4 linked regions of the Schizosaccharomyces pombe genome follow. The gene in region 1 interacts genetically with each later gene. Each region holds a gene or a part of one and is shown in the gene's direction. Other genes may lie near its edges.

What was found.
Region 2: of mis17 (region 1) and exo2, a mutation in one rescues a mutant of the other (synthetic rescue), as found in Schizosaccharomyces pombe (one study listed by BioGRID).
Region 3: of mis17 (region 1) and bud32, a mutation in one rescues a mutant of the other (synthetic rescue), as found in Schizosaccharomyces pombe (one study listed by BioGRID).
Region 4: of mis17 (region 1) and pan2, a mutation in one rescues a mutant of the other (synthetic rescue), as found in Schizosaccharomyces pombe (one study listed by BioGRID).

Annotation. Positions count from the first base shown.
Region 1 is NC_003423.3:3,211,455-3,218,253, forward strand, and holds mis17 (kinetochore protein Mis17 ), read left to right. Parts: upstream 1-2,751; 5' UTR 2,752-2,816; coding exon 2,817-2,875; intron 2,876-2,915; coding exon 2,916-3,975; intron 3,976-4,024; coding exon 4,025-4,231; 3' UTR 4,232-4,484; downstream 4,485-6,799. Other genes in the region: rRNA processing protein Rrp7, read left to right, coding at 1-247, 296-663; transcription factor TFIIK complex ubiquitin-protein ligase E3 subunit, Pmh1, read right to left, coding at 877-1,018, 1,074-1,542, 1,588-1,661, 1,712-1,851, 1,913-2,016, 2,069-2,096; rtc5 (V-type ATPase inhibitor and disassembly protein linked to MTOR), read left to right, coding at 4,815-4,935, 4,988-5,048, 5,106-6,459; SPOM_SPBC21.03C (EVE domain (PUA-related) protein, implicated in tRNA metabolism (possible RNA binding domain associated with tRNA methyltransferases)), read right to left, coding at 6,531-6,799. UniProt on the Schizosaccharomyces pombe protein: Component of the kinetochore, a multiprotein complex that assembles on centromeric DNA and attaches chromosomes to spindle microtubules, mediating chromosome segregation and sister chromatid segregation during meiosis and mitosis.
Region 2 is NC_003424.3:1,774,234-1,783,240, forward strand, and holds exo2 (exonuclease II Exo2), read left to right. Parts: upstream 1-4,256; 5' UTR 4,257-4,315; coding exon 4,316-4,330; exon of another isoform or gene 4,331-4,368; coding exon 4,369-4,436; exon of another isoform or gene 4,437-4,476; intron 4,477-4,486; coding exon 4,487-8,390; 3' UTR 8,391-8,507; downstream 8,508-9,007. Other genes in the region: UBA/TPR/DNAJ domain protein Ucp7, read left to right, coding at 25-2,118; fol2 (GTP cyclohydrolase), read left to right, coding at 2,267-2,375, 2,429-2,724, 2,836-3,138; gus1 (glutamate-tRNA ligase), read right to left, coding at 8,702-9,007. UniProt on the Schizosaccharomyces pombe protein: Multifunctional protein that exhibits several independent functions at different levels of the cellular processes. 5'-3' exonuclease component of the nonsense-mediated mRNA decay (NMD) which is a highly conserved mRNA degradation pathway, an RNA surveillance system whose role is to identify and rid cells of mRNA with premature termination codons and thus prevents accumulation of potentially harmful truncated proteins.
Region 3 is NC_003424.3:1,618,044-1,624,004, reverse strand, and holds bud32 (serine/threonine protein kinase), read left to right. Parts: upstream 1-2,712; 5' UTR 2,713-2,742; coding exon 2,743-3,348; exon of another isoform or gene 3,349-3,396; coding exon 3,397-3,507; 3' UTR 3,508-3,637; downstream 3,638-5,961. Other genes in the region: rib1 (GTP cyclohydrolase), read left to right, coding at 1-567; protein meu32, read left to right, coding at 1,138-1,759, 1,810-2,366; vas2 (AP-1 adaptor complex sigma subunit Aps1), read left to right, coding at 3,874-4,036, 4,090-4,220, 4,278-4,472; HOPS complex subunit Vps41, read left to right, coding at 5,261-5,422, 5,473-5,614, 5,656-5,814, 5,878-5,961.
Region 4 is NC_003424.3:729,922-738,347, forward strand, and holds pan2 (poly(A)-specific ribonuclease complex subunit Pan2), read left to right. Parts: upstream 1-2,900; 5' UTR 2,901-2,958; coding exon 2,959-2,976; intron 2,977-3,020; coding exon 3,021-3,119; intron 3,120-3,163; coding exon 3,164-3,330; intron 3,331-3,447; coding exon 3,448-3,574; intron 3,575-3,614; coding exon 3,615-4,192; intron 4,193-4,229; coding exon 4,230-5,536; exon of another isoform or gene 5,537-5,573; coding exon 5,574-6,544; 3' UTR 6,545-6,682; downstream 6,683-8,426. Other genes in the region: karyopherin Kap111, read left to right, coding at 1-764, 805-1,042, 1,083-1,267, 1,306-1,401, 1,448-1,629, 1,695-1,785; SPOM_SPAC22G7.03 (uncharacterized protein), read left to right, coding at 2,017-2,727; kri1 (krr family protein), read left to right, coding at 6,876-7,116, 7,244-8,426. UniProt on the Schizosaccharomyces pombe protein: Catalytic subunit of the poly(A)-nuclease (PAN) deadenylation complex, one of two cytoplasmic mRNA deadenylases involved in mRNA turnover. PAN specifically shortens poly(A) tails of RNA and the activity is stimulated by poly(A)-binding protein pab1.

The DNA of each region.
Region 1 (6,799 bases):
GAAAAGAAGTCACTGTATTTGATTAATGTTCCTATCACAACTACTGAAAAGATTTTGAAAAGAGCAATTTCTCAATTGGGCGGTCGTATCGTTAATATCTATCCTAATATTAGTGGCCTTTTGAAAAGTGGCACCCATTTACGCGTCAAATTAGTCGAGCCCGCTGAAGTTAAACAAGTTATCAAGGCAGCTTCTAAAAAGACGACCTCGCTTCCTTGGAAGTTCACACAGCATACTGGTTTGAAACGTAAGAACATGGTCATTATTTTTTTGGAAATACTAATGTGTTTAATAGGTTATGTAGAAAGTTATGATAGACAGTTTGTCAATCCACGTGTTCTAGCCGAAAGTGTTGATTCATACATGAAACGTGTTACTAAAAAGGAAATAGCAGAAAAGAGGAGACTATTCGCTATGAAAAATCAACCTGATGAAGATGGATTCGTAACGGTCGTTCGCAGCGGCCGGGCACCTGTCGGGCGACCTCAGGATGCTGAGCGTCAATTGGAAAAGAAAAAAGACACTGGGATCCACAAAGATTTTTACCGTTTCCAGCTTCGGGAAAAGAAAAAGAAGGCTCTTTTGGATTTAGCTCATAAGTTTGAGTTCGATAAACAGCGTATCCAACAATTAAAAGAAAAGCGGCAATTCAAACCGTATTAATATTATAGGTTTTAATCTTTTTGGGAGCATCACAAGGATTTGTTTTAGTTTGTATATTTTAGGGATAATGGTAATATACAAAGGCTATGATTTACTAATACAAAGAATAAAGTATACTTACCACAAACGTATATAAATATATTAGTATGAAAATGGAATAGTCGTTTACTTAAAAATGAAATGTAACTGCATGGTGAGAGCATTAAAGCAAGACTAACTTGCTACTTCAAGTTTTTTGAGACTTTCTAAATCGTAATCAATGCCACTAAAAGCCTCATATAAGCATCGCAAATGACAATCTTCTATACGGAAACCGCATTTGCGGCCTGGTTCATGCGAAACTTTTTCCAAATATCTAATCGAGTTGTTAGTATGATATTTATGGGTGATGCTACAAAATTGACACTTACAAATCTTGATAGGTGTTTTTGGAGTATGAAAAATACTTGCTCCCATCTTTTTCTCCAGCAAGAGGACTAAAAGGCGTAGTATCCTCTGCTACTTGCTGAACATCAGATAGAAGAATTGAAGATGAACGTGAAATGTTTGAAACCGAAGAGGCAATGTTTTCTTGTTGCTTTTTAAGGGAATCAGATAGTTGGATAATTTTGTTAGGATCTTTTCCTGATGTAGCTAAATCAAAAATAATTTGTTGCTCAACCTGTTCACGTCTTTCCTTTTCTTTTTGATGCTCACGTATAGCCGCTTCTCTTGCTTCTTGCTTTTGGCGTTTGAGAAGAATCTCGTTTTGAGCCAAAATGCGTGCTTCTGCGGCGGCTCTTGCAGAATTTGCTGCTATAGAATCTCGATTTTGTTTTTCATATTGTTTAACTTTTTCCTCAGTTTCTTCAACGTCGATTTTATAAATCAAATTAAATGCTAAAAAAAATTGTTAATAAAATTCTGACGCTGTCAATAACATACTTAAAATTTCAACTTCTTCCAAGTAGTCATTGTAAGCCTGCAAGCTGTCAAATTCTTGCTGTCCTTTGTTAAAGCTAAAAACGCACGTTAGAGTAAATTAAAAAAAAAGCTACAGTGTTCGTACATTCGAGATATCCGCTTCCGAACATCGACTTCGCGCTCAATTTGAGCATCTTCAAATGTTTGCTCTCGAAATTTGGCTTTTCTGAGAATTTTGTTGCACCCAGGAGTAGGGCATTGAGCAGGTCCAGTTGTAAATATTCTCTATGAATTAGCAAATCATGCTTCATTTCTTATTTGTATTAACAAATGCAATCAAACATACGTCTACACAAGACTCACACATCTTGTGATAGCACTCAGGGTTTATAAGTAATTTCATATTTGGATTTAAATATCTGTCCGCCTGGCACAACGGACATTTTTCATCTATATGTCTCGGTCAGCTTTAAAATAAATCAGGTAATTAATTAATGCTTACCAACTTTCCTAGCACCTTCATCGTCCATCTTTCTTTTATAGTTTACTTTTATTAATTCGTATTATGCAGTGAACGGGAATGACAAACGATAAATTCAAAGTTTCAATCGAATTTATGTTGAATAGTAAACGTTACTTTTCGGATTGTATAAAGAAATAATATTTGGACAAAAAAAGCGCGCAATACGTGGTGTTAAACTTTTAGAAGTAGTCGCCTTCAATATTACAAACACGACGACCATCAACTCATTCCCTAGCTACCAGCTATCTAAAGTCTTTTGAGTCCAAAAATACGAAAATTTAGATTAATGTAATAATAATTATTGAACCAACATAAATATTAACTAAATTTGGTTCCGTTTGTCGTATAACTTGGTAATTTCTATGTATACGGGCATGCAATCAGAAAACTTAATGGACATTTACTAAATTTGATCAGTTTGTTAAAAAATAAAATTATCTATTTTATTCTCACATAGGAGTTTGGAAAATTTTCAATAGTTACGAACTTGAATTTGAATGTTTTATATATATGTCGAACATTTAACTATTAAACTACATAGGTGTAATTTGTTTGCTTTATGAATACGTAGTTTAAAATATATGGTGTTAAAATTATTATTTGGGCTGTACAAAGAATAGCTAAAATCAATTCATGACTAGAAAGAAAGGCTGGATGAATTCGTCAACTACCAAAACCCCATGTTTGACTATACGCGTAGAAAAGCAAAAATTTTGCATGAAATATTATGGAAAATAACTCCCATAACGTAGATGAGCGACGAGCAGCACGAATGCGTGGAGCTGAGTATGTTATTTCAAAACTTTGTAAAAATTAACCAATGTAGACGCTACAAAATTCAAAATGTTGAGTTTTCATTAGATCAAAACCTTCTGGCCAATTTAGAGTCATCTACTTCTAGTTCAACTCGTTCTTCGCCTGCTTCAAACCAACAAAACCTTGAAATTGTATCTCAATCAGAGGCATATCATAAAATTAGCGATTTGGATGACAGTACATCTATTTTTTCTATTTCCGATCAAGAAAATATACTTGAAAGAAGGATTTCTGAAGAAGTAGTTCGGGAAAATTCCGTTTCCAGCATCGAAAATGTATCTTCATCGGCTGTCGCACGTGAGACGCAGAGTAGCGCAAATATTTTAGTCAAAGACAATCATTTTTTTTCTCATAAGCAGAAAAAAATACAAAGGGAATCCATTCCGTTTCACAAACGTGATAATATAGAAACCTCTGATGCATATAGTTCTTCAATCCTAGAAAATTCACCACCTAACAAAGTACAAAGGCTGTCATCTCTCGACTCATCTCAAGATTCGTTCCAAGAGGAACATCCAGGCAATGTGACAGGAACAACATTTAGTTCTCAGGCCCCTGAAGAGCGAATTGCTTCTCCTATCTCCACTTCTTCTCCGGAATCTTTGACGAATCAAAGTAGTAGTCTGCAAAGTTCCTTACAGACATCATCAATGGCTCCTAGAAATCTTTTGGATCAATCAACAGAAAAGGATATTGTAGTGGGAGCCTCAGATGAGCTCGTGCGTATCGAGTTAACCAAACTTTCTAAAGAAGCAGGAGGGTCAAAGACTCTTAATGAGCTTGATGCCGTACAGCAATTTTTTCAAGAATTTATAAAAGAGAATGAGCCACTAGAACCCTATGTAGTCAAGGTAAAAAATGCGTTTGTGGAACAAGTTTCTATTCGTTTACTAGAGTTAATAGACTTGCTGGACGCTAATCGAATTTTATCAACAGCTTGTAAAAAAGCAGCAAATGAGAAACTAGCTGTTCAACGGGATCTCTCGAAATTGAGGGAAGATCGACTATCAGTGCAACGTAAAAAAATACAGTTACGAAATGAGTACATTAAATTGTCCCATCAACAAAACGTACGCATAACATTGGCTCTTTAATTTACGCTTAACTAACTTAATATAGTTTTTGGATGATATTGACGATTTCTTCTCACAATGCGAAACAGTGAAAAACGAATTAGAAAATGTAACCACAACTCCAAACTCTACCGAAGCTTTTTCAGAAATAAATGAATATGCGTCTGCTTTATCAAAAAATTATGGACTCGAATCGCAGCTAGTTGAATTACAGTCTTTACTAACCCAATTTTATCAAAAATTCCTTTCCTAAAAGTTGCCATATCGCAACTTCTCCGCTGTCTTTCTATCACCTTTTTGTATAATTTTTCATTTCGGTGCGTCTGTTTGGGAAATCGGCTGGATTTCTACTGTTTCTTAAAGTTTTGCTTTTCTTGTGTTCTAAACTACCCTTTATCTTTTGCTAATGTGAAAGCTTTGATTGGGTTTTTGTATATAAAATTTTTTGAAATATGAGTATATGAATATATGAATGTATAATAAATGGCATGTCATTATTACCCCAATTTTCTATTTCGACAGCATTTCCGTTTTAAATTGTATGCTGCATAATTTTCTAGTAGAAATTCGACTTTTTCGTCACTAACTTGAACTGCTTACACTTACAATTGAGCATGTATTTTTTTAACAAGTTAGGAAAATAAAAAAAACAAAAAAATGCAAAGGAATTTGCTTCTAAATGGATATCTTTGTATATCGCGTTTGTTTTCAATTTAGATGAGTATTAAGTGCAATATTAGTTAACTTGTAACTTCGTTTAGCACAACTCTATTTTCATAGAATATGAAGTCATATTCACTACACTCTGAATCACGCCGAAGATACCCAGCCCAAAAATGGGTCAAAAGGAGTCCCAATTTAAAGTTCTTTGGCAGTTACAGACTCATGAAGAATATATGAAACAAACTTCTTCTTTCTTACGAGACTTTAATGCTTTAGAACGGTATAATTTAAAAGGTTTGTCAATTTTCGTAATTTTGTTTAACAAAGCTAATGATTTAATAAAAAGAGAATTTCGAGGCTTTATCAAGCTTTGATAATGGTGAAAAAATTTGGGTTGAGGATGCCTTGTATGTTCGCTTTTAAAGGTATTGTTGAAATTGTTCATTCTAACAAAGGTGCTTTAGCACGACGTTCTTTGGAATTCCAGACGTTATCCAACTTTCACCATTTTTTTATCGCTCCGCTTGTAGTTTTGGAAGGGATCTTAATATCAATAGGCAACGTCTTACATTTTCTGCTCTCGCGAGATTTCTTGCTTCTTACACTGGTCGCCACAAAGATGTTTGGAGTGATTTTGAGAGCAATTTGATGATCATAGCAAGTTGGTGTGACTCTTTTCCAAAATTTAGAGTAGAAGTTTTAAAAAATTCTAAACAAATTTCGCGGTTAATACATAGTGATGTTCAGAACATAAGCAATTTTTTTGATCAAAACTTCGGTATACGGAGGTCAAATATTTATCAGCTATGTTTGCTGTTACTTTGCATTTCTAAACTTAAGCCTGGTGAATCGGTTGGTTGTCATATTAATTCGTTTTTGGACTCTATGTTTGTGAAAGAACAAAAAGCTGCCTTTTATGTGCTACAAGGTATAAGTCCGGATATATCTAGTAATATTATAAAACCGAGTTATTTACTTCATTTTCTTGAGTCAAATCCATATTTCCTTAAATCTCTAGGATCTTTATTTGAGTTGGCACTATTTCCGCATTCAGCTCACAATCAAAAAGTGCAAGATGATGTGTCACCGTTAAACGACTTTGCAATTCTGAGCCCACTTATCCATGCTCAAATCTGTTTTTTTTTACCCAAATCTGTATGGCAGGTCAATGGCTTGACAAGTCTGTTTAGAGCAAGCTTTCATGGTTACTCAATGTACGCACTAGAGAGAAAAATGTGTAATTATCACAATCCTTCGATTCTCTTAATTAAAGCAAAGAAAATCAATGCCAATCACAAATCCTCTTCTAGACCAATATCATTAGATGCTACAATTCCGAGAAAATATCCACCACACTGCATTGGGACTGATAAAGCTGTGCCTCAAAAATTTGGTGCAGATTTTCACAATGAAAATATCTTACTTGGTGCTTATATATCCACTCGTTGGAGACAATCGCATATGGGATTTTTTGGAGACCATTCAACATTATTATTTCAACTTCAGCCTATACATCAAGTTTATTACGCTTCCAATCTTGATAAAAATTACTGTATGTTCGACAAAAATGTTGGCCTGGGTTTTGGCCTCAGCCGTCATAAAGTGACTAACAAAGTGCAATATGATGTACCCGGAGTATGCATGTATATTGATGATGGTCTAGAGTATGGATTATTTAGACATGCTGGTGATGGAGCATTCAAGCCTGCGACAAATTACGAAAACTTTGAATATGAAGAAAGATTTTTAATTCAAGACTTAGAGGTCATAGGAGTTGATACTACAAAACCGGTAGAGCCAATCCACATCGGATTATAATGGACGCATATTGGAAAAACGATCATAAATATTAGTATATATATATAATTTTTTGTCAATAAGAAAAAAACTTATAACGCATTATCCTTTTGGCTTCTAACATCTTTTATTCTGCTCCTTTTAATGATATCCAAAGATGCATCGTTCTCACTAATCGAACTGTACGGACTTTTTGCTTTGTTTTCACCATCAGAAAGATTTAATTTCCTCTTCCTTTTTGCAACCTTTTCTTCTTCCTGAAGACGAGCTTTGATTATTTCTTCGGGCTCTGGTTGTTTCGACAGTTCATGAATAAATTTCCACTCTTCAGGTTTTACTCGTGAGATACTCAACCTCGATC
Region 2 (9,007 bases), on another chromosome or scaffold:
CACTCCCATAATAAAGCCTCCAACATGGATGACTTGCTAGATTTCAATTTTTACGATAAATCTACACCATCTAATCAAAATAATTACAGTAATAATAATAGTAGAACGCCATCCTACTCCCTTCCCGCCCCAGTAGCCCAGAAAAAGAATGCACAAATTCCATTGAAAGCATCAAAGCCCGAAGACCCTTTTGCTAATTTATTTCAAAAGAAAACGGATAATAAAATTTCCTTAAAAGAACTAGAAAGGCAGAAAGTTGGAACTCCGGACTCCAATTCCACCCCCAAATCTTCAAATTACGATCCCTTTGAAAACCTTGAAATTTTGCATCAATTATCAAATACTCCTAGAGATAAAGATGCAGTTATTCATGATAAGATTGAAGAAAATAAAAGGCCGATTTCACAACCACAAGTATCGGCTTCCGAGAAAGTAACTTTAAAGGATTTGTCTTTAGAGCCGCATCAGCCTGTCAGTTTACCCGCCTTTGAGAATATTGGTTCGGAAACCTCTATCCCCTTTGAAAACCATAATGAAATTACTAATATGAATACTGCAAAGGATAAGTTAAGTTCCAACGAGATGTATGAAAAGCTACGCGATTTGGGCTTTTCTGACGATCAAAGCAGATTGGCTTTAGAAAATTCCGGGAGCCTGGAGGATGCCATAGAGTACATTCTTGAAAAAGATAATGCAAAAGGACAGTATCGTGAAGGAGAAGCTTATGAAGCATTTTCAGATTCAAGTGCAAAAACTCAATTTTCAGACTTTCAAGCGTTATCCAATCAATTAAAAAGTCAGTTATTTGAAAAGGCTAATGATCTTTGGAACATTGGAAGAAAGAAACTTAGAGATGCAGTTGAGGAGAGGCGAGCGGTGAAAGATCCTAGCAAACCTCGTTGGATGGATGCTTCCCATGATTTTGGCCGCGAAGCAACTCCTGAAATCCTTCCTAAAACCCCAATTCCCAAACGGAAGCCGCACAAAGTTCCTATGAATGAAAAGGTTTCTGAAGACAGAATCACCACTAATCAAAGCCGGTCAGGAAATGATGAATCATCTTTAGTCGATTTCTTAACTTCTAAGTCAGACAATAGCTCTTTTAACTTTCCATCCGATACGTACGAAGGGACAGAGAATATACTTGAAACGGCTTATGAATCAACAACGGCTCGTCAAGTTAACAATAATAAACCTGGGAAGTCCACTGTTAAGAAGCGCGAAGAAGAGACTTTGAATAACATGGTAAGCGCTCTAGTAGAAGAACAACAATCGACAGGAAATGAACTTTTTCGCAAAGGTGATTTTAGCCAAGCCATTGAAGAGTTTACAAACTCGCTTTCTCAATTACCTGCCAAGCATACAAAGCGTGTCCCTCTTCTCAGCAACCGTAGCTTGTGTTATCAGAAAGTTGGAGATCTCAAGACTTGCTTACAAGACGTAGATGAGCTAGTGGATATTATTGGAGAAGAAAAAGGACATGGAGAAAGCATTAGAGACAAGAGTATGAATGATTACTATGTAAAAAATATGGTTCGAAAGGCACAAGTTTTAGAGCAGCTCGAAAAGTACCAAGAATCTTTGAATATTTGGAAAGATCTTATTGCAGACGGGCAAATAAGCAAGCTATATATTGATGGTAAACACAGGTGCGAAGCAGCCATTTCTTCTCACTCCTCCGAATCTCATTCTAAGCGCACAACACAACAGCCAAAAAGTACCCCTAATCACACCAATATAAAGGTAAAATCAGAGAGGTTACAACACGTTCGAATGGCTCAGCAAAAAGCAGAGCAATTAGACGAAGAAAGAAGTCGTTTACGTGAGCCAGTGCAACAAATTGTGAATAAGTGGAAAGAGGGGAAAGAGAGCAACTTACGAGCACTGCTTGCTTCCTTAGATACTATTTTGTGGCCTGAATGCCGCTGGCAAAAGGTTTCGCTTTCTGAATTGGTCTTACCAAAGAAGGTGAAGATTGCCTACATGAAAGCGGTGTCCCGAGTGCATCCTGATAAACTACCCCAGCAGACTTCAGTGGAACATCAATTAATAGCTGAATCTGCATTTAGCATTCTTAATCATGCCTGGGAACTTTTTAAACAGCAAAACGATCTTTAATTACAAATAGTGAGACTTTGGTTCTGCGCTACACTCTCTTGCATGAACCAAGATGTGTGACAGTATTTTTGTCGGTTAGCGTAAAACATTTGCAGCGGTTTACTTATCCATTGCAATCTTAATTTCATTTATTAAAAATTTATTTCTCATGGAGCCTGGAAAAAAGGATTATATAGATTCTCCTTTGAGGATGCAACCAGCCTCACTTTCTGGCGCATCTACACCAACTATTGATTTAGACGGGCTTTCTTGGCCTTGTAAGTAATGAAAGCATATTTTATACTCATTTAAGTATTCTAATACCAATTAGGTCAAGGAACACAACGTAGAATAGATACTGCTGAGGAAGAAAAAGTAAAAAAAATTTCCAATGCTATTTCAACAATTTTGGAATGTTTGGGAGAAGATCCTGAGAGACAAGGCCTTTTGGGAACACCTGAGAGGTATGCCAAGGCAATGCTTTACTTTACCAAAGGATACGAGCAAAATTTGACCGAAGTGATCAATGAGGCAGTATTTCAAGAAGATCACGAAGAAATGGTCATTGTTAGAGATATTGATGTATTCAGTTTGTGCGAGCATCATTTGGTTCCTTTTATTGGAAAAGTAGGTTTCATTTAGAAGTGGATTTTATCCATTGCATTCACGTGATTGGGCTATGCAATTATGTTTAACCCTCTTTCACAAACTCAGCGTATTAAACTAACATTATTGTAGATTCATATTGGTTATATTCCTCGTAAGCGTGTATTGGGACTTTCAAAGCTCGCACGTATAGCCAATATGTTTTCGCGTCGCCTACAGGTGCAGGAGCGTCTTACCAAACAAGTTGCCCAAGCTATTCAAGCTGTCTTAAAACCTCAGGGAGTTGCAGTCGTTATGGAAGCTACTCATATGTGCATGGTTATGCGCGGTGTTGAAAAACCGGGTAGCAGTACTGTTACTAGTAGTCTTACTGGTATATTTCAGAGAAGCCATAAAACTAGGGAGGAGTTTTTTAGATTGATTGGAAAATTTTAATTTTGGTTTTATTTTGTTCGTTAATCGCTAGAGGTGATACCGTCCGTAAATTCCTATTACAACTAAATGGTATTATATTTTTATTTTTTTTTGCATTCCAGTTTTTGAGTTGTTAAAACAATCACTTTTTTAAATATATCAATCCTTGCATATGTTTATTTATGCATACGATTTAGCAACCAAAGATTTTAAAAGCAGTCGAAAGTTCTCTCTCTATTACTCTTTAAAAATATGAATGCCCTTCTTCAGTTGTTTTTCACGAATTTTTTTTTTTTTTTTTTTGATATCTTAGTATTATGAGAAGAAATTCGAACACATGGTCGTTTTTCATATGGCTTATTTTATTTTCTTGAAAATTGACCGGAGCTATTTCACTCCACCTTACTATTATTAGCCTCAACGTGCTAAGGAAGACGTTATCCTAATGGAAAACTACTATTTAAGTTTTCTTTTTGAACGTTGTTTCGAATCACTTTTTTGGTTACATGGTAAATTAGTCCATGTTATTATATACATATATGAAGTTTCAACAATTTTATTAATTATTTACTAAGTTTTGCTGTGTAAGACTTTCAATTTGCAAGAGCTCAATTAATAGTTTATCATCAAATATATTATGAATGAATAATCTTTGTACCGTAATCGATAAGTATTGCAAGCAACTTACAGTGATTGTATTGATATACCCTAGACACATTATTATAAAGGTAAATGTCTCGTTAATTATAAAATTTGCCAATGTTTTTTAATCATCTACTACTGCTGCAGTTTCAATTAGTCGAAACGTATTTCTTGATAAATGTGTTTGATTTGTTTTTCAAACAACTAAACTCCTTCCTTCGCCTCAATGTTTAAGAACTTGCTCTATTTTAGACTCAGCTAGTCTCAAAGACTAACTATTTTGCCATTTGTATTTTTGTTGAAAAAAATGATAATATGATAATATCTTTACTCACAATGATATCGTTAAAAAGGCTTCTGTTAGTATGATATTAAATCAAAGAGGATCTACACATTTTCAATATTTCATGTACTATATAACTAACTCCTTAAACTTCACTAACCTGGGGCCTATCGATACGTGCAAGCACCGCATATGTTGACATTTGTTCTCTACTAACAACAATACTTTCTAAATTTATTCCTATTTAACTGTTAATGAGAAAGTTCGTTCAGTATGGGAATTCCAAAGGTTGTTATCGATATTTTGTATAAGTTTTTAACAATTAGTTTTTTCGATGGATGAGCGAAAGGTATCCGCTGTGCAGTCAGCTGATTGAAAACGATCGCATTCCCGAGTATGTCAATTTAAATCATCGTTTGAAACGTATGGAGCTAATTGAAATAGATTTGATAATCTTTATCTAGATATGAATGGTATTCTTCATAACTGTACGCATAAGAATGATGATCATTCCTCACCACCACTTCCAGAAGAGGAAATGTATATAGCCATTTTTAATTATATTGAGCATTTATTTGAAAAAATTAAACCCAAAAAGCTTCTATATATGGCAGTAGATGGATGTGCCCCACGTGCGAAAATGAATCAACAGCGCAGTCGCCGATTCAGAACTGCTAAAGATGCCCACGATGCGCGTTTAAAAGCAGAACGTAATGGGGAGGATTTTCCCGAGGAGCAATTTGACAGTAACTGTATAACGCCAGGTACAACTTTTATGGAGAGGGTTTCACGACAGTTATACTATTTTATTCACAAAAAAGTTACGAACGATTCCCAGTGGCAGAACATTGAGGTTATTTTCTCTGGCCACGATTGCCCCGGTGAGGGTGAGCATAAAATTATGGAATATATTCGAACCCAAAAGGCTCAACCTAGCTATAATCCTAACACTCGCCATTGCCTTTATGGTTTGGATGCTGATTTAATTATGCTAGGTCTTTTATCTCATGATCCACATTTTTGTCTATTACGTGAGGAGGTTACTTTTGGTCCGGCAAGTAGAAACCGTTCTAAGGAATTGGCTCACCAAAAATTTTATTTATTGCATTTAAGTTTATTAAGAGAATATCTTGAATTTGAATTTCAAGAATGCCGATCTACATTCACTTTTAAGTATGATCTCGAAAAAATCCTTGACGACTTTATTCTTTTAGCTTTTTTTGTCGGAAATGACTTCCTTCCCCATTTGCCTGGGCTTCATATTAATGAGGGTGCGTTAGCTTTGATGTTTAGTATATACAAAAAAGTTATGCCTTCTGCTGGGGGATATATTAATGAAAAGGGAGTAATCAATATGGCTAGATTGGAACTTATACTCCTCGAACTTGAGAATTTTGAGAAAGAGATATTTAAAGCTGAAGTTTCTGAGACAAAAAACAATGGGAACTCTGACAAACCATCTTTTGACTTTCTCAAATATATTACTGAATCAACAAATGATATTAAAGCCATGACAGGGGAGCAGAAAAATTATTTCTTACAGATTAAAAAGTTTTTGTCTTCTCGTGAGCCGTTCATTGATTTTAGTGCAAACATTTCTTCTGTTGATCAGCGCTTTCTACGACGTTTATGTAATGATCTTCATCTGTCATTTTCCAAAATTATAAAGGTAGACGGCACTCATCTATTAAGGATTACATTTAGAGATCTTGAATTTAATGATGAAGACGAAGATGAAATTGAGCAGGACGAAATCGAACGTGTACTTCAAAAGTATGATAACATTCCTTTGCTTAACGAAGAACAAGCTTTAAAAGAAAAAAACGTCGAAAAAGATTTTATCCAATGGAAGGATGATTATTATCGAAGCAAGGTTGGTTTTAGTTATTATGATGAAGAAGCTTTAAAAGCAATGGCTGAACGTTATGTTGAAGGTTTACAATGGGTACTTTTCTATTATTACCGTGGATGTCAGTCTTGGGGTTGGTATTACAACTACCATTTTGCACCAAAGATTTCAGATGTTTTAAAGGGCCTTGATGTAAAGATTGATTTCAAAATGGGTACACCCTTCCGTCCTTTTGAGCAGCTCATGGCCGTTTTGCCTGCAAGAAGTCAGGCATTAGTACCCCCTTGTTTCCGCGATTTAATGGTTAACAGCGAATCTCCAATTATTGATTTTTATCCAGAAAATTTTGCTTTGGATCAAAATGGAAAAACAGCTAGTTGGGAAGCTGTGGTTATAATTCCTTTTATTGACGAAACCCGTCTTATAGACGCACTAGCATCCAAGGATAAATTTTTGACTGAAGAGGAACGAAAAAGAAATTCCTTCAATGCCCCAACGGTCTTCTCTTTAGCGGAGGATTATACATCGTTTTATCCTTCTTCATTACCTTCACTTTTTCCGGATTTGGTTACCCGCTGTATTCAAAAACCTTACTCTCTACCTTCGATGGAAGGTAAAGAATATTTGGTTGGTCTTTGCCCTGGCGTTTTCTTAGGTGCTTTTGGAATGGTGGGTTTTCCTTCCTTTCACACTTTGAAGCATAAAGCAGAATTAGTGTATCATGGTATCAATGTTTTTGGTAATGAAAGCAGGAATCCCTCCGTAATCGTCAATGTTGAAGACGTCAAATCTGCTTTAACGTCGGAACAAATTGCGATGCAATATGTCGGAAAACGAATTTTTGTAGACTGGCCTTATTTACGTGAAGCATATGTGGAGAGTGCTATGGACGAAAGTTACATGTATTTAGCTTCAAACAGTACCATTGAGAAAAGGGATTTGGCAGAAATTGAAAAAAGCCAATGGGGCCGTAAATGTTCCCATAAAATTAGAGAATATAGTAAACGATTTGGCGTTCTTTTTGGTGATATTTCCTTATTGCTTCAAGTACGTCCTATCAAAGGATTGGAGTATACCAGAGAAGGTGCTCTTGTTAAGATTTTTAACGAATCTGTCCTTGAGGATTATCCAGCCCAATTAGTGGTCGAAAAGATTGCTATAGATGATCCAAGATTTACCGAGAGAGAAGCTCCGCCAGTAGAGGTGGAATATCCTCCAGGAACGAAGGCTTTTCATCTCGGAGAGTATAATTATGGGCGACCTGCACAAATTACAGGATGCAAGGACAACAAGCTCATTATTTGGTTATCAACCGCCCCTGGGTTGGATGCCCAATGGGGTCGTGTTCTTGTTAACGATAGCAAGTCAAAAGAGAAATATTATCCTTCTTATATCGTTGCGAAGTTGCTTAACATACATCCGCTACTTTTAAGTAAAATAACATCTAGCTTCTTAATTAGCAATGGTACTAAAAGAGAAAATATTGGATTAAATTTAAAATTTGATGCCAGAAATCAAAAAGTGTTAGGATTTTCCCGGAAAAGCACTAAAGGTTGGGAATTCTCGAACAAAACCGTTGCCCTTGTTAAAGAGTACATAAATACGTTCCCTCAATTATTTAATATTTTAACAACACATGCTACCAAGGATAATTTAACGGTCAAGGATTGCTTCCCTAAAGATGATACCCAACAATTGGCTGCGGTCAAACATTGGATCAAAGAGAAAGGGATTAACTCTCTTACTAGAGTATCTTTAGATGAAGATGCTTTAGACTCGGACATTATAAAGCTAATTGAGGAAAAAGCAAGCACAATTGATTCTACCTATCAGGTTCCGAAGAAAGTTTTTGGCGTCCCTCGGTATGCCTTATTAAAACCTTCACAAACACGTGGAATTTTGCATAGTCAAGAATTTGCTTTAGGCGATCGTGTTGTTTATGTTCAGGACTCTGGTAAAGTTCCAATTGCAGCATACGGAACTGTCGTGGGTATTATGTTGCATCATTTGGATGTCGTCTTTGACTTGCCTTTTATGAGCGGAACTACTCTAGATGGAAGGTGTTCGCCATATCATGGTATGCAAGTTGAAGTTTCAATGGTTTTAAACGTTACAAATCCTCAGTTCGTTGTAAATACCCGTGCCGGAAAGAATAGAAAAACCAATGTTAGTGCAAATAATGTTTCTCAAGGTACTGACTCTCGTTTGGTAACGAAACCCACTTCAACTTTTCCATCACCTCCATCCCCTCCATCTTCTAGTGTTTGGAACAAAAGAGAGCATCATCCAAAGCCTTTTTCACTACATCAAGTCCCTCCCCCTGAATCATTAATCCATAAATCGAAGAGTAAGTTTAGCAAAGGTAACCACCACTCTACCAATGGTACACAATCTATCCGCGGTAGGGGTGGAAAACGTGGTAAACCCTTAAGGTCGAAAGAACTCAATCGCAAGCACGATCACATCGTTCAGCCGATGGGCAAACTTCAGATTAACTAGCCCAATTGTATTTTAGTGGTGTGATAATAAATTTTATTAGCATAGAATTCTTTAACTTTATAGAAGGTTTTAAGACAACATTATGATATGAATGAAATTTATGTGCAAATATTTTAGTAGACTTCTATACTTTAAATCTGTAGTAAGAGAAATTTCGGTTTGAACGGTTAAACTTATAAATATTTAGTATTCGGAGTTTAGTCTCAGATACAATCAACCAAACACGACTTTACAAATCATATGGAAGAAAAATATTATAAAAACAATAGAGGTAACAAAATTTATATTACGACTGGATAATATGCTCGATTCTAATTTTTAACGCCGTAACGATTTACAGTCTTACCGTCTGGAATGTTGAAGAGAACAGCCTGCGTACCATCAAATGGAACATCAACAATGTAATAACCTTTACGCTCAACTTGAATTATATCACCCTTCTTTAAATTCTTGATTCCAACGTCAGCAAAGACGGGAGAGTGGAATTCAGTTTGAGGAGTTAGGAAGTCCTTATAGTTTTCTCCTTCTTCAAGTTTGTCCTTGGTAATAAGATAGTCAAAATCAACAAGGTCGACAGGAGTTTTGTCCTCCGTATCAGCCAACCAAGTGACTTTCTT
Region 3 (5,961 bases), on another chromosome or scaffold:
TCTTATATTGATGTTAACTCTTCAAAAACTACCGAAGAGCAGAAAGAAGAAGCACGGAAGACTAATTTTGTACCGCTGGTTCGAATTCATTCCGAGTGCTATACCGGTGAAACTGCTTGGTCGGCTCGTTGTGATTGTGGTGAACAACTTGATGAAGCAGCCCGTTTAATTAGTGAAGAAGGGAATGGTGTCATAATATATCTTCGTCAAGAAGGTCGCGGAATTGGTTTGTCCGAGAAACTCAAGGCTTATAATCTTCAGGATTTAGGAAACGACACCGTCCAAGCCAATTTACTGCTTCAACATCCAGCAGATGGAAGATCGTATGCAGTTGCTACTGCTATGTTGATGGATCTTGGTCAGCGTGATATCAGACTTTTGACGAATAATCCTGAAAAGGTTAATAGCATTGAAGGCCCAAATAAAGAAGTTCGTGTAGTAGAACGGATTTCAATGATACCCAAGTCATGGAGAGGTGAAAAGGGAATTGAAAGTGCTGAAGTAGTCCTTTATCTCAAAACTAAAATTGAGAAAATGGGACATTTACTTGACTTACCAGATTCATAATGGTGCGATTCAAGCATTTTCACACTTTTCGCCAATTATGGTTTTAACTGCTTCCTCTTTATAAATGGCTACTCTTCGTGTTTACGTGCAGTTTTTTGGAGTTTGAAGAGTTAAATCTTTTTTAATGAATACCAAAAACTCCTTGGTCTTTGAAAACTAAATTATTAAAGCTGCTGTACTCATTCTTGTGAGGGTTAACATCGTTGACCCTTTTAATAGACATGAATTTGAACCATGCTTTTAATGTCTACTATTTCCAGTCTTAGCTCTTGTGGTAACACTCTCAACCTTTTTGTATTTTTTTTTTTGCAAATTAGTGCTTAAGTAATATGTCTTAAGCTGGTTTCTCAGTTTCTTTTTAAGAATGAATTTTCAATGCTCTTAAAGCTAGATTGTTTATTACATTTGTTGAGCTTTTCCTTCTATTGACGAACAACTCAAATAAAAAGTTCTTTGATTTTTTTCAACTGCCTCAGTATATATGTTTAGTATTTAAATTAGCTCACTTCATTACCGCGTATTTCATGCATCCAAAGAAATAAAGCAAACCACCACAAATTACAGATAAAAATGGAAGTTTACTTATCTGAGTTTATCAATTGGAAATTGTATGAATTCAAAAAAATTAACGAGTTAGGGACAAGTACATTTAGATACTATTTTAAGGGAAAGATAGTTAATTTAAAAAATAAGCGTGTCTCATCCAACGAGGTTTGTTATATGTTTAAACTTATGGATGATACTGGAATTGTTGAATTGAACTATAGTTTATCCAAGTATTCGCCAAAATTTGAAATGCTGAGACAGTTACAACTCGGCATTTCAGTTTTCGTCTATAGCGACGTAGTCTGTCGTGTTTCTGGGATAAGAGCTTGGAAACTACAGATTCATTCCAAAAATTTGGAAAGCAAGATTGAAGCTACAATTTCTGAACCAGAGCAAATACCATGTCCTGGGTTTGGTAGCGACAATATTGTTCCGCTGTCACTAGTGAATGACTTTAAAGATGGGGCGTTCGTCAATGTATTAGTTGCAATACAGTGGAAAGAAGAATTCGAGATATTTAATAATGAAACAAAAAAATCTCTACCTAAACAAACGATACACGTACACGATATTTCTGGATCAGCCATGATCGTGTTGATAGGAGAGTCCCAAGTTAAATCCGCTCTCAGTTGGAACAATGAAACAAGTATGTAAAGATTTCTATTCAGGTATGTACCTACTCACCAAAATTTTTAGTTTTGTTGATTCATAATGCAATTGCCTACCGAACCAATACCGGAATGCTGGAATTGTCAATTAAAGATGCAATAATTCAAACACTTCAGTCATTTGATGGTAAAGTTTTGAAACTATTAAATTTTTCAATCAAAAGAAAAGAACTTATTAAGATAAATGCTTATAGATTGAGCACCCTAGAGGCTCTTGAAAAAATAGCCAGCCAATCTGGAGAAGCTTTTGGGCAGGTTGGCGTTTTAATAATGCAAAGTAAAATTAAAGATTTAACAAAAGAAGGGGGATTAGTTTATGGCAATGATTTGACAGGTTTGAGATTTGCAGATTTAATAAGCATAATTGTCGATGAAACTGGAAGTGTTAAAAACCCAAAATTTAGTCAAAAGCTTTTGGAAGAAATTACAAATATAGCTCCTACGGAGTTAAGTGTATTGAATGAAGAACAAGCAATGCATCTAGAAAACGTCTTCCTGTATAGACACTATCGAGTTTGTGTTGGTTTTCTGAACAAACAAATTTACGTGTTTTCAAGTGATGAACCCTTAAAATCATACATTTAATTATTAAATTAAATACTCTTAAGTTATTAACATTAACATTAAATCAGCATATTGATTCTGTAAAACCAGACTTGATTTGATATGCAGCAGACACTAATAAACTGAATTAAAAAAAAAAACGAACATATAAGGCTATGATATTAAATGAAGTGTCAACTTTATGCTGTAATTTTTCTTGGATAACTCAATTAATTTTTGTATTACATTTAAATCGTGGGTAAATAACAGAAATTAATCAATTTAAGTCTAAAAAATATTTATTAGTATTTGACAGTTCTTACGATAATTTTCTAAAGACAGTTTAAATTTGTGACATTTTCGGATCTCTAACGCATATTATCATTCCAAATCCCATCTTCATTTACATAACTCTAAAATGTCAGAAAAACCTGACCTTAGGCAAAGATGTTCTGATATATATCGTGAAATAAAGGAAAAGAAATTAACTGTGGTAAAGCAAGGTGCAGAAGCAATCACGATAAAAACCGAGTTTTATCCAGGTGAGGTTTGTCTTTTGAAGTGCCGACCTGCGAAACGATGGAGACATCCTATTTTAGATCAGAAATTATCAAGAAAACGCTGCTTAGTGGAAGCAAGACTTTTAGCAAAATGTCATTACGTTGGAATAAAATGTCCCATGCTGTACTTTATAGATGCCAATCGTGGTCAAATATATATGGAATGGATTGATGGACCTTGTGTACGAGATTATATTCGAGAGATCTGCGAATGTGAGATTGAAAAAAAACTTATTCCTTTAATGAAGCGAATAGGATCAGAAGTTGCGAAGATGCATAAGAATGATATCGTTCATGGAGATTTGACAACTAGTAATATGATGCTGGAGTCTCACAACAATCCGGTCCCAATTTTTATTGATTTCGGTTTAGGAAGCGTTTCCGAATCTGAGGAAGATAAAGCTGTGGATATTTACGTCCTAGAGAGAGCTTTATCAAGTACTTTACCAGAAAGCGAATCTTTGGTATGTTAACTATTAGACTTAAAGCACTTAAATTCTAACTGTTTGAAGTTTCATCATGTTTTAGACTCTTATGCCCAAAGTTGGAAACAATCTAAGGCAACACTTCGAAGATTTGAAGAAGTACGAATGCGTGGCCGTAAACGTACCATGATAGGATGATGTTCTAAATACTAGTCTCTAGAAAATTTTTTATAAAAAATCTTTCATTTATTGTTTAGTCTTTATGGTATCCTTCATATGGTTTAATTAGTCTATGGACCTTTTGCCGATGCCCTATGTATTTAGTTGCTTTAGAGTTGGCACACGCACTACCTAACTACCGCTATCAACACCAAGCAATAGTGAGCGTTAAGTCAATCTTGGCAGTCAACGTTAGATAACTGTTTTGTTTCTGATTATTTATTACCTTTTTTTTGTAACCTTTATGAGCTTTCGTCCATAGCGGTTACGAATTGAAACATCGTTTACCTTATAGTGTCAATCCCCTTTAAAGCAGCGTATAAGCATTTAATAAGCTTTTATAAGATGTCTATAAAGTTCTTTCTACTCGTAAGCCGCCAGGGAAAGGTGCGTTTAGCTAAATGGTTCAATACTTTGTCAATCAAGGAGAGAGCCAAAATAATCCGTGATGTTTCTTCACTGGTGATTACACGAAAACCAAAAATGTGCAATTTTGTTGAATATAAAGGTAAAAAAATTGGTATTTTTATTCAAAATATGAATTAACTGTATTTGTCTTAGGCGAAAAAATTGTTTACCGACGATATGCTTCCTTGTTTTTTGTTTGTGGAATTGAACAGGATGATAATGAGTTAATTATATTAGAAGTCATCCATAAGTTTGTTGAATGCTTAGACAAATACTTTGGTAATGTACGGCTTTCCCCCTGATTTGATTGAATTTGAATTGTACTTTTATTAACCGAGTAGGTTTGTGAGCTTGACCTCATTTTTAATTTCGAAAAAGCATATTACGTTATGGAGGAATTACTACTCGCAGGAGAGTTACAGGAATCTAGCAAAACAAATGTTCTTTCTGCAGTTCTAGCTGGTGATGCAGAATCGGAAGCTGATGCCCAGCAAGATAGCCTCCAAAAACTTGTGGGCAGCGTGAAGAAGCGTTAAAAATGTAACCGGTAATTGATTTCACTTTCTGTGATGAACGGGTTAAAAAAAATAGCTCTCTTCCATTTTATTACCGATTTCACTTTTCATTACAATTGTGTGTGTGACTGACATAGACCTAATTTGCATGTATCCATACACCGAAGTTTATCTTGTATCACGTTGATCATTTCGCAATAATCTGAAATGTCGTCGTTAATAACGCTTTACGACATTAAAAATCTTATGTTTTTTTTAATCATTTTCACATTGGTTTTAACAAACTGTGTTCATAGATGATATTCAGTATTGATATAAACCATCGACACTGTCATTCATGTCTCCCGTTTTACATGTTCATTATAACACTGCTGTAGTTTTGAATATTTACATTTTGCAATACCAAATAGCTAATAGTCATCGTTCACCCAGCTTTATTATAAAAGTTTAAATATATGGTCATCTACTACCGTAAATTAAAATGTACATTTGCTTGAAATTTTCCTTAATTTGATCAAATTTGAAAGAATTGTATTTTATTTGTTAATAAATCGTCTAATATTTGTATATCTTACTCACTCGTCCATAGTCATTCATACATTCATGTAGGCATTTTGTTATGTCATTGCAATTCCACTACTCATAAAACTAACACCTACTATATATTGTCACAGTTATTTTATCTACGTTTGTTACTCGAGTTCTCAAAATTGGTATTATTATAGTAAACATATTACAGTTCCAGTTTGAAGATTTTCACTACTACTAAGGCTAACTAGTTTTACCATTTACACCACAAAATTTTATGCATGTCTGTCGATGAGAGCAATTCGGACAGTGAAATTGATTCGATCAGCTCGTCTGATGAAGATGAAGAGCCTAAACTGATTTATGAAAGAATTACTGAAAAATTTCAAGGATGCTTTATGAACGACACCATATCTGCTTGTGCAATCTCTAAGGAACATTTTGTAAGCATCGTCATCTGGTTTTATTCATATAATTTAACATTTGTGTATAGTTTTTTGGTTCGCATAATGGTGCAATTTACATTTATCAGAAAAATGGTATTTTATTACGAAAAATGATACTGCACTCAGCATCTGTAGTAGATCTTTCTGTGGACCTTGAAAGCGAAAATTTAGCTTCATGTTCTATGGATGGTAAGTTAATATTGTTCTTAATTAGTACTGATCTTTATTAGGAAAAATGATCATTTCTAATATTACTACTCGCGAAACTACTGTTCATGATTTCAAGCGGCCTTTATTGAGCGTCGCAATTGATCCATACTACAGTACTAGATCATCCCGTCAGGTTCTTTCAGGAGGACGAGCTGGAAAAGTTGTACTTTCTGAAAAAGGTATGCTTTTGGATAGGAGCGTGCGCCCTTATTTTACTCTTTTACGTCTAACGATAAATTTAGGGTGGTTAGGAAATAAAGACACCGTGCTGCAAGCTGATTGTGGAGCAGTTTATAAAATATCGTGGTACACAACATATATTGCTT
Region 4 (8,426 bases), on another chromosome or scaffold:
CGGATGGTACAGGAAGCCCTCAATCATTAGAGGTTTCATTTTATTGCTTATGTTGTATTTTAGAGTACGACACCAATGACAGTGATACGTTAGATGCCTGGCTTACTCGGTTATTTGAAACGAGTTTTGCTATAAAGGCTTCGGCTTTCCAAAACCCGCAACTATTAAAAACCTGTTCTCAATTATTAAGCAGTTGCTCTTGCTTTCTTCAAAATCACCCTCAATATCTTAATATATCTTTGCCAGTTTTATTCGATGCCTTACACATTTCTGAAACTTCAATACAAATGACTGTCTCTCGTTCAATACACACTCTATGTACAACTTGTGCATCCCATCTATTAACTGAAATCGACGGATTCATGGCGGTGGTTGAAGAACTAACACCCAAGCTGGTATATGTACCTTCTGTGCTAGAAAAGATTTATAGCTCCGTTGGATATGTTACACAACGTATAGAAGATATTGAATTAAGAATCAGTTATCTGATGAGACTTTTAAACTGCATTCTCGCACAACTTCAACCAAGTTTATATCCTAATCTTGAAATATTCGAAAACGTTTTGAAATCCTGCCTCCAAAGCGTAGCCGGAGTGGCCTTAAGTCAGAGTCCAATTGGCGAAAGTCCAATAATTGATGTTGAGCAATCTACCCAGGAAACAACTTTTTGGCAGCAATCGTGCATTGCAGAATTTCAAGCAAAACTCATTTCCTTTTTGACCCATTCCGAGTCTATGGCGTTACAGTATTCCGACGTCGTTGGGGTAGGTGATCTGTTAAACCGAAAATACTAATATGATATAGTTAATTTGCAAGATTATGATTGCTGGTCTTAATGAAGTAGAGCCTTCTCCATTTTCATTGCCTATAGTAACTACCATTCAATACTTCTGTGACAGATTTACAGAATTTCCGGCAGCAGTTTTGCTAACGTTGGGATCAGCAATTTTGACATGTCCTTACGGCCAGACTGATATTATTGACAAAGTGCTAATTGATATGTGCTCATCGATTCAAAATTCTGTTGTTATAATCAATGAAGGTAAATAATTAGCAGCAATGTGCCATACTAACTAAAATAGAATCATTTATGAACAATATCGACATTACAGTCGAATTATATCACTTCTTTTCAATAATTCTTCAAAAACACCCCTCATTTTTAGAAACGATGTATCCAGATTTTACCCAACTTATTTTAAACCGCGCGATTAATTTGCTTGGCAAGCCTGAGAGATTGTTAGAATCAGCAGCCGGCCAATTTATTGTAAGTGATCATTATCTGTTAAAAATATTAACATTAAGATTTCATTCATTACGTCCGAAAAAAGCGACCTCCTAAACACTCATACAGATTTCGTGAATGCAATTCGAAGTCCTCTTATTGCTAAAATACTATTGGTAAACAATATTTATGCTTTTTTTGCAAACTAATACTGATTTATAGGGGTTCGGTGGAAATGCATCACGGAGCTCTTTACCGTTGCTTTCAGATATATTAGGAAAATTAAAGGCACAAAATTTCTCTGCGACAAGAGCATGCCTTACTCAGTCACTTGAAGAAGAAGGATTTCCTTCACGGAATGTTTCAAATGAGATCAAACGTCGATTTTTAACAGATCTTCTTAAGTAAGCATTATTTGTCGTTTTCATCACGTCTATGTAATGATTATCTTGTTAACAACAAATTCTAGGGCACGAATAAAAGACAAAGTAAAACAATTTTGGATACTTTGCAAAGGACTAGAAAGTACTCCTTATGGCAATTCAAGCTGGACCTTTTAAATCATGTAATAAATAAAATAGCTTGGTAGGAAACTGCCAAGCTACATAGTCTCCAGTTAATTAACTTTGTATAATAAAAGATAAGCAAAATGCTGCTTATTCTAAAATTTACGAGAAATAACATTCGTTTTTTTAAAGAAGTAAATAGGCTGAAATTTTTTGATCAAATTGGTTTTTAAGATTTTCGAGTATTTATTGAGCACAACACGTAAATTATCTTTATACTACTTAATGCAACAACTAATTAAAGAGCATTTTGGAAATGGGGGAAAGGTCAGGTCAACGAGCATTGAATACCCCATTTTTGTTCATTCTGGAAGTATCTCTGCTATGTTGCTTACTTTAGTAAATGCCCTTGAGTGCAATGATGTGGACGAAGGCGTGTTAGTATATCCAACAGGTTCGACTAATCCAATGGAAAACATTCTAAGAATGGAAAATCCATTTGATGGATTTTTAGCTAAGGAAGCTTATTCCATTCATTTTCAATCAGTTTTAGAACGAATTCAATTGATTCCTTGTTCTCATGTGGATGATTTAGAAAAAATAGTTGAAGTACGTTTAAAGCACGCAAAATTAATACTGGGAATAGCAGATATTTCCAAACTGCTAAAAATTAGGGGTTGCTTAAATGGACGTTACCTATCTAGGTATTTGATGCTTTGCTTACAAAATAGTAAAATACTTATAGTTTGTGAGACAGGAGGTTTACAAGAACGAATACCTATTATTGAAGATATTTCAATTAATGAGGATACACAACGTACCGTTAGCTTAGAAACTATTTATGCTACATGGATACCAACATTCTGGGAATCGAAAAGAAAATCGCATGAGAAAGATGAAGGACGATTAGTCGATCGAAGACACAAAGTTTTAGTAGATTGGCTTGCTAATACATGCTTTCGTGGCATGAGTTTAAAAGATCATTCTGCATTATAATTTTCATAACCAGGCGCTTAATATAATATTTAGTTCTAATGAAAAGGCATATAAAACATTGCAGATTATCAACTATATACAAATGTTTAATATAACTATTTAATATCTGATTGAAATCACAATCGTAGGTTTGTGTTGTATTACTAGTTTTCATTAGGTAAACCTGGCTTGCTATGACCAACACTTCAACTCCTAGAGAAAGAGGTTATAGTCAACTGTTTGAAATGAGAGATGGATGCGTGGAAAGAAGTAATTATTTTTATAATATTCCATTATAAATTTTAACAAATTAGATTACCAAAACAACTGAAAATGATGGTGTATCGACGTGTTCCTTAAGTTCTATTGCTTTTGATCCCTACTCAGAATTAGTATGGACTGGACATAAAAATGTAAGTTAGATTAAAGATTAATTATGAAACTAAGTAAATTCTAGGGTCAAATTAAATCTTCTTTCGGACCCTCACTAACATCGTATACTCAATTCATTGGGCATGAGGGTCCGGTGCACCAAGTATTACCACAGGAAAGGGGTGTATTTTCCCTTTCTAGTAAATCTTTACGATTGAGTAATCGCAAAGGAACAATAAGATGGAGATATCAGTAAGTATATCATGATATGCATTCTTGATCTAGTAGTTCCGTACCTTGTGTTCAGCGATCTATGATCATTTTGTATTCATGCTTTCTATGTTCAAAACATGCAGTACTAATCTCTAGGGATTCTGATTGTATAGATTACCGGGCTATGTTCTACCAGAGTCGTAATAATCCCGAAGTTGTTATAGGAGGATATCATCAAAAGCTTACGGTTGTTAATGCTGAACGAGGAATTTCAATTCATAAGGTAATGTTCCTTTGTGTCCTGTATCACTAACATTTAATAGGACAAAAACGTTAGTGACATTTTCATAATGCGAAGGAATAGACTTCTCTGTTGTGGATCTACAAATGGTGAAATTATTCTTCGCGACCCAAATAGTTTTCAGCCAGTCAATAAAGTTGTAGCGCATACAGGCACTATATCAGATATTGACACTTCTGGAAACCTTTTATTATCATGTGGTTATTCATTGCGACATGGCACATACATGCTAGACCCATTTGTTAAGGTTTGGGATCTTCGAAATCTATCTAGTCTTGTTCCTATTCCATTTCCTGCTGGTCCTACTATCATCCGTATGCATCCAAAGCTGTCTACCACTGCTGTTGTTTGCTCTTGTTCGGGTCAATTTCATATTGTTGATACAGGAAATCCCTTGGATGCAAAGTTGATGCAAATTCCGTTAACTTCTTATCTAACTGGGATGGATATAGCTTCGACTGGTGATGCTATGGTTTTCACTGATGTTGAAGATAATATTCATCTTTGGAGCCCTCTAGAAAATCCATCTTTCAGTGATCTCAAATTGCCTATACAGTTACCCAACACTTCTACTGAAACTGTGCAATTAGAAAATAATGAGTATGTTTTTGTATCAAAGTTTAATCTAACGACTTAGCCCATTGAACTCAATAGGATTGCCCTATTATAAAGACGAGCTGCTTTCTTCATGGTCAAAGTATTTGATATTTGATGTTGGAAAACCTATCCTCGACTCTAATCTTCTTATTGCAAAACAGATATCGGAAAATTCGCACCCTGTTCCACAAGAAATTAAGTCTTTCCATCGAAATCAAATTATCGAAGTCCCGTGGTTGAATCGTAAATTAATATCTGAAGGGGCGACCCCGAAGTTTCACAGCGAAAGGCAGAAAGACATAATGTCTGGAAACGATATTGAAGGTTCTGCATCTTATTTTGAAGAAATTGAGGACACAATATCTGGACCTGATTCTATACCGAAGTTTTATCAAAGACCGGTAATTAAGTATAGTAAATTCGGTATTGAAGATTTTGACTTTGGATTTTACAATAAAACTAAGTACGCGGGCCTTGAAACCGACATCACTAATTCATACTGCAATTCTGTTTTGCAGCTTTTGTCTTACGTTCCTTCATTTTCGAAAGCAGCAATTAGCCATTCATTAGGTCCGTGTGATTTAATGGAATGTTTGCTTTGTGAGCTTGGATTTTTGTTTGCTATGCTTAAAGAAAGTACTGGAAGAAATTGCCAAGCTACGAATTTTTTAAGAGCATTCTCAAATTCCTCATTTGCACAATCTCTGGGAATTGTGTTTGATGACTACTCTGATGGTACATTTCCTGATTCCTTTGTGATCCAGAAATTCACCAAATTTATGTTAACAGAGATTTCACGGATTGCTGACTACGAAGATAAAAAGGATGGGACTTCATTTCCTGTTAGTTTTTTGCTGAAATCATTTTGCATACCAGAAATGCAGACTTATCGTTGCGGAATTTGTGGAATTACTAGTCAAAAAATTAAATCATCCTTGTATATAATAGACCTTCATTATCCTTCCCAACAACTTGAATCCATATTGTCGTTTGAATGGTTATTTAAAATGAGTCTGGATCGTCGAGTTGATCTGCCTCCAGGTTGGTGTGAATACTGTTTAGCCCACCAGCCTTTCTTGCTTCGTTCTTTTATTCGTTCTTTACCTGATTGTTTGTTTATAAATACGCAAGTTAAGCACCATGAACACTGGAAGTTGTGGGCTCGAAAAAATTGGCTACCAAAGAAACTTCATTTGCGTAGAGTTAATGACACTATGCAATGCGTATCACAAAAAATATCGAACCTGGATAAGGATCAACAGTCATTATCTGTCTATGTTTTACGTGGTATAATATATGAAATTCGGCAGAATGGCGAAGAACCACATTTTGTTTCAACAATTAGAGGTATGAATTTGTTATTATCATTTTTCTAACTAGACAGTATCCGATAATACCAGCTCTGATAATCCCGATGATAATCGATGGTATATTTTTAATGATTTTCTAGTTAAAGAGGTAACTGAAGAAGAAGCACTGACGGTGCATGGCCCTTGGAAAATACCTATCATAGTGTATTATGAAAAGCTTGATACAAAGATCCCGCAATGGGACGAGGTATCAGACTATACTTTGTTATACCAACCCTACTCATTAAACAAAAACCCACCTATCAACAAAATTCAACCTCTCACAACTGATGAAATGTTGTATCCTAAAATGCTAGTGGGCATAGACTCTGAGTTCGTTGCCCTACAGCAGGAAGAAACTGAGGTACGAAGTGATGGTACTAAATCTACCATTAAACCCAGTAAACTCTCGTTAGCTCGTGTATCAGTTTTACGTGGGGAAGGGCCTAACAAAGGTTTGCCATTCATAGACGATTATGTTGCGACTGACGATAAGGTTACTGACTATCTTACGGAATATTCAGGTATACATCCTGGCGATTTAGATCCTGATCGTTCTCCATATAATGTCGTTCCTTTAAAAGTTGCGTATAAAAAGCTTCGTCTTTTGGTAAATGCTGGATGTATATTCGTTGGTCATGGTCTACAAAAAGACTTTCGAATTATTAATTTGCTGGTTCCGCCGGAGCAGGTTGTTGATACGGTTGATTTATTTTTCTTGAGCTCACGGCAACGAAAACTTTCTTTAAAATTTTTGGCTTGGTATTTGTTGGATGAAGAAATTCAACTAACGGAACATGATTCTATTGAAGATGCCCTAACTGCTTTGAAACTTTACGATTGCTATGATAAATTAAAAAGTCAGGGTAAGCTAGAGGAAACCCTTGATAACATTTATGAAGTTGGTCGTCGGTTTAAATTTCGTCCTCCTTCTGTTGCATCCATGTCACTTGAAGATCGCAATTCTTATGGCGATGAATCTGTCATATCTAATCAGACAAATTAAATGATTAGGAAATTACTTCGGCTTTTTTTTAAAAAAGATTGTTTATATATTTACTGAAATGGTAGTAATCAATTTCATTGTGTATTTTTCAAAATTAATACTACTTATAATGTTCCGATATGTTAGTCTACTAGTTGCAACTTATTCAATTTAGTTTTTTATTCTTCTTGTTCTTCGAATTCTCATTTTTTATATTATTAATTGAAGTTAAAAACTCACCACCATTTGCAAATTTAGTTTTTGGTGGTAACTTTTACAGCAACACTGCCAACTTTTTTCACTACTTGTTGTTAAAATACCCCACCAAACTTTTTCCATTACCATTCACAAGATGCCCAGAAAAAAATCAGCAGCTAAGAAAGCACGTGAAGCTTTGGTTCAAAAAAAGGTTATCAATTCCAACGTACCAACTGATAAAAAGTCAATTGATCAACTTCAAGAAAACGTTACTAGCAAAAGTCACTTATTAGAGGAAAGCAGCTCTGAAGATGAGGAAATTAATTCTTTTCAAATTAACGAAGAATATGCAAAGCGATTTGAACACAATAAAAAGCGTGAGGAGCTTCAAAAGTGTAAGTAAATTTTTTTGTAATGGCTTTCTTGCAATCAGTTGAAAAGCAAATCTTTGGCGATTATTCTATTGCTTATGAAATTTCAATTGAAAAGAAAACGTGAATCAGGTATACTAACTAAAATTAGTAGAAGCAAAATACGGGGAACAGATGGCTAATGGAGTGGATGGTGAAGGCAGCGATGAGAGTTCCAGTGAAGAGGAAGAAGATTCGGATGGAGAACTTGTCACTCCTGAAGTGGATGCTGCTATTTTACGAATGATTGTCAAAATTCGGAACAAGGATCCTGATCTATATGATTCTCAACAGAAGTATTTTGATGAAGTCGAAAAGGATGTGCAAGGATCATTAAAAAGTAAGGACGGGTTTCGCTCCGTCACACTAAAAGACTACCATCGTCAAAAATTGTTATCGGGCGAAATTTTAGATGCGGAGGAAGATGAACCAATGCCAAACGATGCTAATCCCACTCACGTCGAGGAGCAAGAACGTTTAAGAAAAGAAACAATAGCAGCGTTTCATGATGTCAACGGGAATAAGGATGCAGTGAGCAATGAATCTGACGAAGATGGTGATTTTTTAGTAAAGAAAGAGAAAACGAAAAAACAACTTGAAGAAGAAGAGCATGGCTATGAAAGGTTTTTGTTGGAAAGTGCACAGAGTAAGGAAGCTAGAAAAGTTTTAGAAGATTTATCATCCTCGTATGTCAAACAGCGTCCATCTGTTCTTGTTAATACTGAAGATGATGAAAATGGAATTAAGCCGTCAGATGAAGATTTTTTATTGAAATATATGATGAATCGTGGATGGCGAACTTCCAACACCAAACAACCTTCCTATGAAGAAATTATTGATGAGGTTGATGCCGAGAACAGATTTGACGAAGATGCTGAGGAATTTGAAAACAAATTTAACTTCCGCTTTGAAGAAGAGGCTGGCAGCCAAATAGTTTCTCACCCTCGAAATGTTGCTGACAGTTTACGAAGGAAGGATGATTCTCGTAAACGTGCACGTGATCGCAAAAAAGAAAGACTTGAAGAAGCATCTCAAAAGCGACTAGAGGAAGTCAACAGACTCAAAAATCTTAAACGGAAAGAGTTAGAGGAGAAACTTAATCAGGTTATTGAAATTGCTGGTTCCAAAAATATCGATGTTTCAAAACTTGATTTAGATGAAGACTTTGATCCGGAAAAATGGGAATCCAAAATGTCAGAAATTTTTAACGAAAATTACTACGAAGAAGATTCTGCTAAAAAGCCCGAATTTGGCGATGATATAGACATCGATGACATCGCTCAAGTGGATAATGG